Rattus norvegicus: one gene and its partner. The protein of the gene in region 1 binds, or shares a complex with, the protein of each later gene. Links are inferred from orthologs where the notes say so. Each region holds a gene or a part of one and is shown in the gene's direction. Other genes may lie near its edges.

The links. The genes of interacting proteins can lie anywhere in the genome.
Region 2: the proteins of Plekhm2 (region 1) and Arl8b are in contact, whole or in part, in a crystal structure (PDB 8JCA), measured with the Homo sapiens proteins. The link is inferred for Rattus norvegicus from reciprocal best matches to the Homo sapiens genes PLEKHM2 and ARL8B. Residues at the interface, in NP_055979.2 of Homo sapiens: His70, Phe71, Thr72, Arg73, Arg74, Glu75, Glu103, Ser105, Glu107, Ser108, Tyr109, Arg111, Leu112, Glu115, Glu147, Phe148; in NP_060654.1 of Homo sapiens: Glu22, Thr52, Val53, Gly54, Phe55, Asn56, Met57, Lys68, Trp70, Arg77, Phe78, Arg84, Tyr85, Arg87, Gly88, Val89.

Annotation. Positions count from the first base shown.
Region 1 is NC_086023.1:159,221,788-159,227,753, reverse strand, and holds the end of Plekhm2 (pleckstrin homology domain-containing family M member 2), read left to right. Parts: intron 1-188; coding exon 189-253; intron 254-580; coding exon 581-669; intron 670-1,238; coding exon 1,239-1,371; intron 1,372-1,592; coding exon 1,593-1,783; intron 1,784-2,032; coding exon 2,033-2,098; intron 2,099-2,784; coding exon 2,785-2,944; intron 2,945-3,164; coding exon 3,165-3,344; intron 3,345-3,421; coding exon 3,422-3,538; intron 3,539-4,144; coding exon 4,145-4,282; 3' UTR 4,283-4,454; downstream 4,455-5,966. UniProt on the Homo sapiens protein: Plays a role in lysosomes movement and localization at the cell periphery acting as an effector of ARL8B.
Region 2 is NC_086022.1:143,334,266-143,340,231, forward strand, and holds part of Arl8b (ADP-ribosylation factor-like protein 8B), read left to right. Parts: intron 1-3,406; coding exon 3,407-3,487; intron 3,488-4,517; coding exon 4,518-4,591; intron 4,592-4,774; coding exon 4,775-4,868; intron 4,869-5,966. UniProt on the Homo sapiens protein: Small GTPase which cycles between active GTP-bound and inactive GDP-bound states.

The DNA of each region.
Region 1 (5,966 bases):
AATTAATAACGAAGCGTCCGGAGGGAGGTATTGCTAGCTGGGCTGAGCACCCTGTCTGTCATTCTGCTACACCATCACTTCCTTTTGCAGGGCAAGAAGGGCTGGGTCTCTGAAAATGGGCCTGGGGGGGGTGTGGGGAGGGGCAAGAGGCCAGCGAGAGTAATAGGCATTCCGGTCTCCTCTCTCAGGGGCCACAGAAAAGCCATACCTGGTGGAAGAGGCTGTTTCTTACAATGAACTTGACTATGTGTCGGTGAGTGCAGGCTCTGCAGTTGGTGTGCCCACGGAAGTACAGGGCTTCTCAGGCTACCCCTGCCTAGAGCTGTAGCACGCAGGCGACAGGTGCCAACGTCTACAGAGGCTTCTGTACTTGTGCTGGAGACGGGAGTTAAGGGTGAAGATACCTCTTCCCGCACTAGATCTCTGACCATCTTCCCTAACTCATCCAGACCCTAGTCTTGGTCAGAGGCTTTAGTAGTGACCCCAAACATGCGGTTTCTCCCTTCCCAGTCCCAGCCAACCCTTAGTACGCACGCTCCTCCTGCCGGGCGGTGGCCAAGTCCTGTGTGTTTTCTGGCAGGTTGGCCTGGACCAACAGACTGTCAAGCTGGTGTGCACCAACCGCAGGAAGCAGTTTCTGCTGGACACGGCCGACGTGGCCCTGGCTGAGTGAGTGTCAGCCCCTGCCCCCCAACAGGACAGGAGAATCAGCATCTGCCATGGGCATGGCCCTGGCTGGGGGTAGAAGGAGACACCAATCTGTTCCCCCAAGAGCCTGCGGCCTGCTCAGAGAGGCAGGGAAGTGGACAGTCACTGACCGACTGACTCACGTCAGCTCAGGTGACCTCAGCCCCTCAGGACCCACGGAGAGGACGGGGGCTGGTGTGAGGTCCAACGGGAGGGGAGGCACAAGAGCTGGGCTGCTGTCCGGGTGTGTCCTGGACTACGGACATGGGGATCCCAAGTGAGAAGGTCATTTCTATTCCTATATTGGAGTGGTTGGATCCTACTGTCCAGCTGTCCGGGTAGCCTACTGTCAGAATCCAAGGCTACTTGGACATTAGGGATGGTCAGGCCTTTTCTGTCGTGCATGGCTCTGACCCCATCATTGCCTGCTGCTGCCCAGCACCCTCAGCCCCTATTTCTTGTGAGCTCTAATGGCCAGGCATTCTCAGGACAAAGCCAAGGACCTATCCCCAGGACCTGTCCTCTGACAGCAAACTGTGCTCCCCGAACAGGCTGTTCTTGGCGTCTCTGAAGTCAGCCATGATCAAAGGTTGCCGGGAACCACCCTACCCCAGCGTCTTGACTGATGCCACCATGGAGAGGCTGGCGCTGGCAAAATTTGTCGCCCAGGAATCCAAATGTGAGGTTAGTAGCTGGTGAGGAGACCCAGTGACACTCCACTGGCCTGCCCTGGTTTTAAGACTAACTTAGAAAAAAAAAAAAAAAAAAAAAAAAGACTAACTTAGTTACGCCCGAGGTGTTTCCCAGTCACCTCATGGGAAGTGGAACTGGGTTATGGGTAAGCTGAGGCTTGACCTCCGCTCTGCCAAGGCCTCACCTACTTGGTCTGTTGCCTCCACCCCCAGGCATCCACTGTGACCGTGCACTTCTACGGACTTGTACACTGGGAGGACCCCATGGAAGAGGCCCTGGGCCCTGTTCCTTGCCAGTGCTCACCCGCTGAGGGCACGATCACCAAAGAAGGCATGCTCCACTATAAGGCCAGCACCTCCTACCTGGGCAAAGAGCACTGGAAGGCCTGCTTCGTGGTGCTCAGGTGGGAGCCCCAGGAGCTGTGGGCCCAGGCAGGTGTCAAGTCCCTAGCGAGAAAGGCCCAAGGGCGGGTGCCCCCTTTTCCACCGCGCTGTGGGGTCACCCAGAGATATAGAGCTTCTCTATACAGCCACGCTCAGATGCCTTCCTCACCCCTCCATAGAAAGCGGGTCCCTGGTCCCCAGCCAGTATACAGGGAATTCCTGGGATCTCCTTAGCCAGGCCTCACTTCACTGTAACTGTGACCCTGTAGCAATGGGATCCTCTACCAGTATCCTGATCGCACTGACGTCATCCCCCTGCTCTCCGTGAACATGGGGTAAGTGTCCCAGGAGAAGGGAACTGTGCAGGTGTCATGACTGGGTGCCCTGCGTGGAGGTCAGCTATGACTGCGTCTGAAGCTTGCGGTTCCGTTCACCTCCTCACCTTATCCTGTAACCCTGACTAGTGCCTTGTGCTTTGCAAACTGTTAGGCGCTGGGGATGCCTGATGAACAAGGAGGTGCCCTTTAGCCTAGGAAAGGGAACCCTTTCCCAGGAATTCCAGCCAATGAGGGGCGGGCTGTGGAGGAAGTGGGCGGGCGGGCGGGCGGGCAGTGGTTCTGAGCAGGTGCAGTGAGTGGCTTTGTACTCTTTCCTCACCATTTTTGGGAACCCCAAGGGCTCTTGGTAATTCTGGAAATACTGGTTGTCAGATAGAGTGGCTCACTTCCAATCCAGTGTGGGATAGAAGCAGGAGGATCAGAAGTTCCAGGTCGTCCTCTACTATAGGGCTACGTCACACCCTGTCTTAAAAGAAAAAAAGGTGGGGGGGAGGCTGTTTTACACACACACACACACACACACACACACACACACACACACACAAACCCGTGGGCTAGCCAAGCATATGCAAATGTCCCTAGAGCCCAAGGCCCAGTGACTGCACACCTGCACACCCCTGCCCACCTTAGGGTCTCCCACTCCTGCCTCCGCCCTCCCATTTCACGCTCTTCCTCTGGCCCAGTGGGGAGCAGTGCGGTGGCTGCCGGAGATCCAACACCACGGATCGGCCCCACGCCTTCCAGGTCATTCTGGCTGACCGGCCTTGCCTGGAGCTAAGCGCCGACAGTGAGGCCGAGATGGCAGACTGGATGCAACATCTTTGCCAGGCCGTATCCAAAGGAGTAAGCCCATCTGCGCCCACCACCATCTGCCCAGCCTGGTCCGCCCCCACCCCAACCGCCACCACCACCAGGCGGCCGCCCCAACCGCCACCCCACCCCGACCACTACCCCACCCCCATGGCACCCCCATTAAACTACTGAGGTAGACTCTACAGGGGATTCCTGGTGCAGGCCACCCTGGAGAAGCAACCTGCCTCTCTCACCTTCTGCCAATGTCCAGGTCATACCCCAGGGCATAGCTCCCAGCCCCTGTATCCCTTGCTGTCTGGTGATCACGGAGGACCGCCTCTTCACATGCCACGAAGATTGCCAAACCAGCTTCTTCCGCTCCCTGGGCACAGCCAGACTGGCGGACATCACTGCTATCTCCACTGAGTTAGGCAAGGAGTACTGTGTCCTGGTGAGTGGGCAGGGACGGGCGCACAGGCTCTGCCGGAGGAAATCCCCGCATATTCACCTAGAATCTGCTGCTCCTAGGAGTTCTCCCAGGATAGCCCCCAGCTGCCGAAGCCCTGGGTCATCTACATGAGCTGCACTTCCGAGTTGGACCGGTTCCTGACCGCCCTGAGCTCTGGGTGGAAAGCCATCTACCAGGTACCAAGGGTTCTGAGGACAGCAATTTGTCACCAACTCTAGACAGACAGAAACTTAGAGCTAAAAAAAAAAAAGCAAGCTCCACTGTCAACAGGTCTGTCAAAACTAAAAATACCACCAGGAGCTGCCATTCCTGAGCTGAGTCCCAGTCACTGTGGGACTCTTGGCGGACCTGGTGAGATGTAAGACAGGCCCTTCCCCCTCCCAGAGCTGCAGGAGCAGCCCTGGAGAAGTAGCGACTTCTGTTTGGTTTGGTTTTAAAACAAGGTCTTACTATGCAGCTCTGGCTAGTCTTGAACTCACAGGGAAAAATCTATGTCTGGCTCCTGGGATCAAAGGCATGAGCCACCACACCCAGGGAGAGGTACTGCTTTATGCACGGTGCTCCCTGCACCCTGTCATTCTGGGGCAGCTTGAAACTGAGCTAGAAACTGAAAACAGTCATGGACAGATCCCCTCACCCAGTGAATCCCAAGTAGACCTGAGAGCTGGGCCTTGAGGTCTGTGTGCCGAGCAGAGGGGAAACTCACAACACGGAAGATGTCCCAAAGGGCTATGTGGGGAAAGCAGCCTGCAGCCCTTGTGCTTTCTGCTTGTCCATAACAGGTAGACCTTCCTCACAAGGCAATCCATGAAGCTTCCATCAAGCAGAAATTTGAAGATGCCCTGAGCCTCATCCACAGCGCCTGGCAGCGGAGCGACAGCCTCTGCCGCGGCAGGGCCTCCCGGGACCCCTGGTGCTGAGGCTGGGCAACCCTGTGGGCAGGCGGGAAGGAGGTGTGCTGACCAGCCTCTGCACTGTGGTGTGCCGCCATGGCGTTTCAGAGCCAGGGGCCAACAACCCACTCCTGCCTTGGGGTGGCAGAACCACTTAGTGTGGCTGGCGTGAGAGAGGAATTCAGTCAGTGCCTGGCACCACAGGCATCCTGCCCGATGGTAGTGACTAGAGGTCACTGGGGCAGACGGTCTGAGCCCTGTGGGCTCCGTAGACACTTGGTGTCCCCGGCCACCACTTTAGTCCTCACCATCTGCTCAGGGTGGCGGAGAGAAGGATAGTATCCGTTGAAGGGGGAGCAAAGAGACCAGGAGGATGGGCGTGCTGTCTTCCTCTCTTGGGTCAGGGGCCTGGGCGGATGGTCAGGGCCCCCTGGGGTCCTGAGTGCCCAGCCACCCTTGTTCGTTTTTGAACACTGTCCCCACTGCACAGGGAAACGTGAGCACTAGGTATCTGTGCATGCCCCCTCTCACGAATCCACCCCATGCACAGCAGCCTGTCTCGCACAGCCTGGGCCCAGCCGGCAGCTCTCCATGGCTAAAAGGGGCCCTGCATGTCCATAGCCCTGCCTTTCCTCTTCCTCAAGTACAGCAGAGCTCGTAGGACCACAGATCAGTTGTTCCTCTTGTCAGGAGCAAAAGACAAGGGCTGAGAGAGGGAGCAGAGTCCATGAGCACAGTGTCTTCTTTGACACCTGACAACCTACCCCTGCTTGGCCAGAGCTAGCCCTTCCTGAGGTCTCTATTAGGTCCCTTGAGGGACAGACAGGTCAGGTGGATTGGGTTTTGTTTTTTAAAATAAAATTGATGTTATATTGCTGAGACTTGTCCCTGACCCTCTTTCAGTGAGAGGTAGGTGGGGCTCTCAGTCTGGGTCACACACGCACACACGCACGCACGCACACACACGCACACACGCACACAAGAAGAATCAGCTCCAGGTTGGCCTAGGCTGTTCCATGGCACTGCTGCCTGGAGGAGAAAGTCCCTCGAAGTTCCTGTGCCTTCCGGTTTCCTACATGGCCACCACAAGAGGGAGCCTGGTGGCTTGGTTCTTAAGGAAAACTGAGAGAAACACCAGGATTACTCCTCTCCTCATGAGGGCCCGGTCACTCCATTCCATCCCACACAGGGACTCTGAAGTTTTGAGTGAAAATGGTTGGGGCACTAGAAGCTGGGGACACAGGAGGGGTGTGGACCGCCTTTCATTGGATGAAGCAGACCATTTTTTAAAAATTTATTTATTATATATAAGTGCACCATAGCTGTCTTCAGACACAGCAGAAGAGGGCATCGGATCACATTACAGATGGTTGTGAGCCACCCCGTGGTTGCTGGGATTTGAACTCAGAACCTCAGGAAGAGCAGTCAGTGCTCTTAACTGCTAAGCCATCTTTCCAGTCCTGAAGCAGGCTTTTCACTCGGCAGTCACCCAGAGGCCGTTCTGGAGTGACCCTCCTGTAATGGGCAGCAAGTACCACCTCCACAGTCTGGTTCCCTACCGTCGTGAGCAGTGAAACCAGGAAATGGAAAATTCTAGAAATAAGCCCTTGTACGGTTTTTAAATATGTGCACAGGTTTGCATACTGTTTGCAGCCTGCACAGATTTGGCTCATCCGGCTGTCCAGCCTGTCTGCTTTGTACACCATCAGGC
Region 2 (5,966 bases), on another chromosome or scaffold:
ATATACCTCCTTGATTGACTCTGGCTCCTGTGAGAACCTTCTGGCTGTTGGCCTCACAGTAGGGTGAGCATTTTTAAGAGAAAGTGATCACATTGCAAGACTCAGGGTCAGGCTTAGCATGCAGCGCTGGTCTCTGAGAACTAGCTCTGGTAGGCATGGGAGTGACTAGTCTTTTCTCAGGTAGTGCTCCTGATAAACCAGCATGTCTTCTAGACCCCACATTGTAGTGCCACTATGGGGTCAAACTTTGAACATGAATTCTAGGGACACGAGCTGCATCCTGACTGTAGCATGTCAGAGATCCATTGTTGGCTTTTGAAGAGCCCCACACTGTTTCTGCTAGCAGCTGTGTAACACAGTCTCCTGCCCTCTGTACACAGCAAAGGTTTCAGCTTCTTTGCAACCTTCCTTTCTGTTTTTCAGACAGGATCCACCTGTGTAGTTCAGTCTTTGGCCTTACATTTGTGATTCTACTGCCTTAGCTTCCAAGTCAAGATGGGATTACAGGTGTATTTACATCCAGCCTAGAAACACTTCTTTTCTGAATTTTAAACTTTATTTTCTTAGTAGCTGTCTTAATGTTTTACAACACTATCTTTGTTTTAAAATGTGTTTCCCTAATGACTAGTGATGTAAAACATCTTTTCATGGGCTTATGTGTGTGTCGCACATCATGCTATCATTTTGATAGCACTAGGTTTTGTTGTTTGTGAGATAGTGGATCATTTTGTAGCTCTGGCTGCTTTCTGCATAGATCAGGCTAGCCTTGAACTCAAAGAGATCCTACTGCCTCTGCCTCTCAAGTGCTGGGGTTAAAGGCGTATGCCACCATGGCCCAACTAGCACTAGATTTTTTTTTTAATGTGTAATTTGTATGGACTGAATGTAGAGTTCTATGACTGTAATTCCAGCTTTTGGGAGGTAGAGAGAGGCAGGAGTATTTGCATAAGTTTAGGGTCAGCTGGAACTATTTAGTGAGACTATTTCAAGCAAACATATATTATGTGAAAATTCCGAGAGTGATGTTGTATATATTCGAAAGTAATGATTTCAGTTACTTAAATTTTTACTTTCTAGATCAAACAGAACACTGCTGAACTGACAGGAAACCAAAACAAAACAAAAAAAACTTTCTGAGTTCTGCACAGGAAATGAATTTGTAAAGTTGGAGTCCGTGTTGCTGAGAACTTAAAAGTATAGAATGCTGGTGTGGGTGACATAAAGTCACAGTACACAATAAACCAGTGTTGGGGCCTCACAGGAAAAAAAAAATCTTACTTGCTTGAGTTGTCTCTTGAGAGTAGTCCTGTTGTTTAACCAGCACCATGTTGACCAGTTCGGAAGTTCAACTGAGAAAGCTTCTAGTCGGTAAAGTGTCTAGGATAGAAACACATCCATTTAGCATTGACCGTGGTTCAGAGGATATGGTGTGGAATGTGAGACTCCTGAGTAATATGACAGTGTATAGAAGCTGTAAAAGATTAGAATAATAACCCAGTGGGTAAATCAGGTGCTTTGTGGAGTGATTTGGTAGCCATTAAATACTGAACACTGACAAAGGGTAGCAATAATTCTGACTGATGTGTTAACAAAGTTACTAATTTGTAAGATTTCTTTGGAATGTGGGAGATGAATCAAGACAATTTGAAACCATTCTAAATTTTTAATCTTTGATACATTGTAATATTACAACACAAATCTACTGTTTATTCAGAAATACACAATAATGGGAAAAAATGAGGACCCAGATGTTTATTTTTCTCTGTATGATGTTTAGCATGCCGTTTCTAATTAGGAAAGGGTAGATTTAAAAGCAGTGAGATATAATGGTTATTGGTCGTCCAGTTGAAAATAGAAACTTTCTGAAAGTACATAATCAAATTCCAAAGAGAGGAGTATTAAGTATTCCATTTATTTATGTGTTGAGTGTTTGCATGCATGTGTATGCGTACCATGACATGCATGTGTGTGTTCAGATGACTCACAAAAAACTCTGCTTTCTCTCAAGCTTGTTGGTAAGCGCCTATACCCGCTGAGCTGTCTTGCTGGCCCCGGATAAGCATTTTGAATGTAAAATATTAATAAAACTATTGTAAAGCATCTAATTTTAGTCTTAACACAGATACTAAAATTAAGCCAAAAAGGGAACAAATTGATTGATTCATAAAATGAAGTTCTAAATTAAAGTGCATTTTATTAGTTCTATTAGAGACAAACTGAAATAATCTACTCTTCAGTATTTTTTCTCAGAACTGTTTGTTTCAGCATTAAGTTTTAACATTTATTGCCAAAGCAGTTTAGCTACCGAAGAAAAAACTATAAAGTTTTCCTCTTGACTTCTCATTTCTTTGTGAAAATGTGTGGAGAAGTGAGAATTTGTAAATTTTCATGTCATACTGTAAAAACTCTTCTGCATTTAAAAGATTTCTTTTATGCGTGTGGGTATTTTGCCAGCAAGAATGTATCTCTACCATATGCATATAGCGCTCACACGCACCAAAAGAGGGCGTCAAATCCTTGGGACCGAATGACGTTACAGACGGTTATGAGCTGCCCTGTGGGTTCTGGGAATCAAACTTGGGCCGCCTGGAAGAGCAGGCAGTGCTCTTAGGCGCTGAGCTGTTTCCCCAGCTGCCCCTCACACTTTCTTTTTTTTTTTTTCTTTTTCTTTTTTTTTTGGAGCTGGGGACCGAACCCAGGGCCTTGCGCTTGCTAGGCAAGTGCTCTACCGCTGAGCTAAATCCCCAACCCCCACAATTTCTATTTATATATAGACCTATTTGGCCTAGAGATGGCTGTTGAGAATAGGCTGACCTTGAACTCACAGACACATGCCTGTGACACAAAGGTATATATATTACTGTGTTTGGCAAAAGTTTCCCTTTTCAATTTAGGAACATCTATAAGAAATACCAGTACATTTCCAAAATGCCCTTCTTTTGAGACGGGGTGTTGCCCAGGCCAGGCAGCTCTTAAACCTGTGGCTGTTCTGCCTTAGCACTCCTCCTTCTGGGATTACAGATGTGAGATGTACTGTCTGCCTCAAAATAATATATTTTTTTATTCACTTATTAGTAGTGTGTGTGTGTGTGTGTGTGTGTGTATGTATGTATGTATGTATGTATGTATGTGTGTAGTATGCTTACCAAAGTGCATATGTGGAGGTCAGAGAAGAACTTTGGGGAGTCATTCCTCACCTTTCACCTTTATGTGGGTTCTGAGATTGGACCTCAGGTTTCCAGGCCCATTTAGCAAGTGCTTCCCTGGTTCCAAAATACCCTTTTAAAAATCAGATGTTTCCATTTTAAAAATAGATACAAATGCAATATTGATAACTAGAAGATTATATAATGTTATGATTCTTTATTATTAATTAATCTAATTTAAAATGTTTTATTTTGTTTAGTCTGGTCAATTCAGTGAAGATATGATACCCACCGTGGGCTTCAACATGAGGAAAGTAACTAAAGGTAACGTCACAATAAAGGTATGTTGGATTCTTATACTTTACATGTATGTTGTATGCATTCATATGTATGTGTCTATATGTATATATGCATGCATGCATGTGTGTTATGTATTGTCCTTTTTATAATTGATTTAAATTGTAATCAGAAAAATTTCTGTTTTCTCTGCTTTTACCTGCTACTTACAATTGCCAGTAATGGATGACATGTTTTGAAAGACTGTAGATCAGTTATTGATGTTTTCTGATAGGTTAAAGTGTTTAAGAGATTAACTGTAGAAGCCCTTAAAAGTCAACTTACCATATGGGTTAGTAGAAGTAACATATCTTGAGAGTTCCAGAAAATAACAGTCCCATGTTCTGCCTGAGTAATGTTTTATATTGAAAGTTGGTAATTACTTACATTAATTTTAGCTCAGTATATTTCTGGTAGTAGATATTGTAACTCAGTTTTTTCTTCATTATTAAGCTTAAAGTGGAAACCAAAATAGGTGTAAAAAGTATAGCTCATTTTTAGTATAATTTCTTTTTAGTTCCTGTTAGGGGATTTAACTTTTTCTTGTAGCTCTTACTTTCATTCTGTAATTCTACGAGTTTAGGCCTCTAGCCTGAACCAGAGACCATTTTACCCAGTTCTTGTTGACAGATGTGCTTGCTAAGTTCTCTGTGGCTCTTTTGACAACAGTCTTCATGAGTTTTATGTAACCATATATAGCACAGTGCCTAATAGAGCAGGCCGAACAGTGATATTTTTATGGGAAATTCTAAGGGAAGGAATGTTGACTCTGGTACTTACAGAGCAATTCAAAATGATGCGCTTCACCTTTAGTAGACAAGCTGCTGTTTTGTTTTGACATCCACATCTGGACGTTGTGTGGTTTTGTAGATGTTAAGCTTGTTATCCTAAAGTTGTGTGGATCCATGATTAGGCCTGTATTGGCTAATAGTGATTAAGCATCACTTTATCATATTTGTCCAAGCAGGTCTTTGTGATTTCCTCATCAATGACTATGATGTATCTTTATTAAGAACTGCCTTGTTTTCATCACAGATCTGGGACATAGGAGGGCAGCCCCGGTTCCGGAGCATGTGGGAGCGGTATTGCAGAGGCGTCAATGCAATTGTGTAAGTTGTTGCCTCTTTTGTTGTTGTTTCCTTTTGCTCCCTTTTCTTCAAAGAATTTGTTTTGTAATGTCTGTTCACCAGCAGTCTTCAGTATTGTAAGTCTTGAGAAATGTAAAATCTATAACTGTAGTTTATTGAGACTATAGTGATAGCATATTGAGATCACTTTGCTTTCTTCTTAAGTTACATGATAGATGCTGCAGATCGAGAAAAGATAGAAGCCTCTCGAAATGAACTGCACAATCTTCTAGATAAGCCACAGTTACAAGGAATCCCAGTAAGTTTGGAGACTCTGTTTTTTATATTTGCAGTTACATATTTAACATTGGGATTGAGTCAATCTTGATATCCCTACAGATGGGTTTTAGGATCCCAAATTTCCACAAATATAGAAGCCTTAAGATTTTTGCTTCCCTTTACCCTTTCTTTTCTTTCCTTCCTTTCTCTCTCTTCTCTTCTCTTTTTTTTTTCTTTTCTTATCCTTGTTTGAGATTAAGCCTTATGATGTGGCCCTGGTGGCCTAGAACATGTGATTTTGTTGCCTCAGCCTCCCAAGTGTTGGAATAATGGTAGTTTGTCACCATACTGGCTTCTCAGGTCCTTTGTGGAAAATGGCATAGTATTTACATGTAAACTGCATACCTTCTTTCATGTTCTTTGAGTTACATTTGGATTACTAATAATATGTAACGTAGCAGAAGTGCTCTGTAATAGTTGCTGACTGTGCTGTTTAGGGAACCTCAGCAAAGGGAAGTCTGTACGTTCAGTGGAATTGTAGTACTCTCCCCTCCCCCAATATTTTTTGGCTTAGTTTTTTGTTTTTTTGAGACAGATTTCATTGTATCTCAGGGAGGCCTGCATCTTGCTACATAGCCCAGCCTGTGAGTCTAGATAATTATGTTTGCAATTAGTAAAATGTGTTTGTTTGTAAAGGTTAAGAGGAATGGCTCCAACATTGTAAAATTGAATATATCTTTCAGATCTTTCTCTACTGCTTATGGCATTTCCTCACTGAAGCAATTATTTGAAGTATTTTTGTTAAGAATTGTTTGTCTCACCTGGTGAGGTTGCTTATGTCTGTAATCCTTGTACTTGGGAAACTGGCAGGATTGCTATGAGTTCTAGGCCAGCCTGGAAAAGTTCTGTGTTGATGTAAAGATCTCTGTGTGGGAGAATAATCACTTTTCTGGAGTGTGTTCACAAAGACTAGGGTCACCTTTGCTCATTGTCTGCTGGATCCTGGATATTATACTGTCCATAGATGCCTTAACCTGATAGACACCAAACTGTGTAGTGAGAGCAGTGCTTGGTTCTGGGAATACTACATGCCAAGGGGGAAATAGATTGAGAGATTGAGTGGGCGTTTAATGGTGCA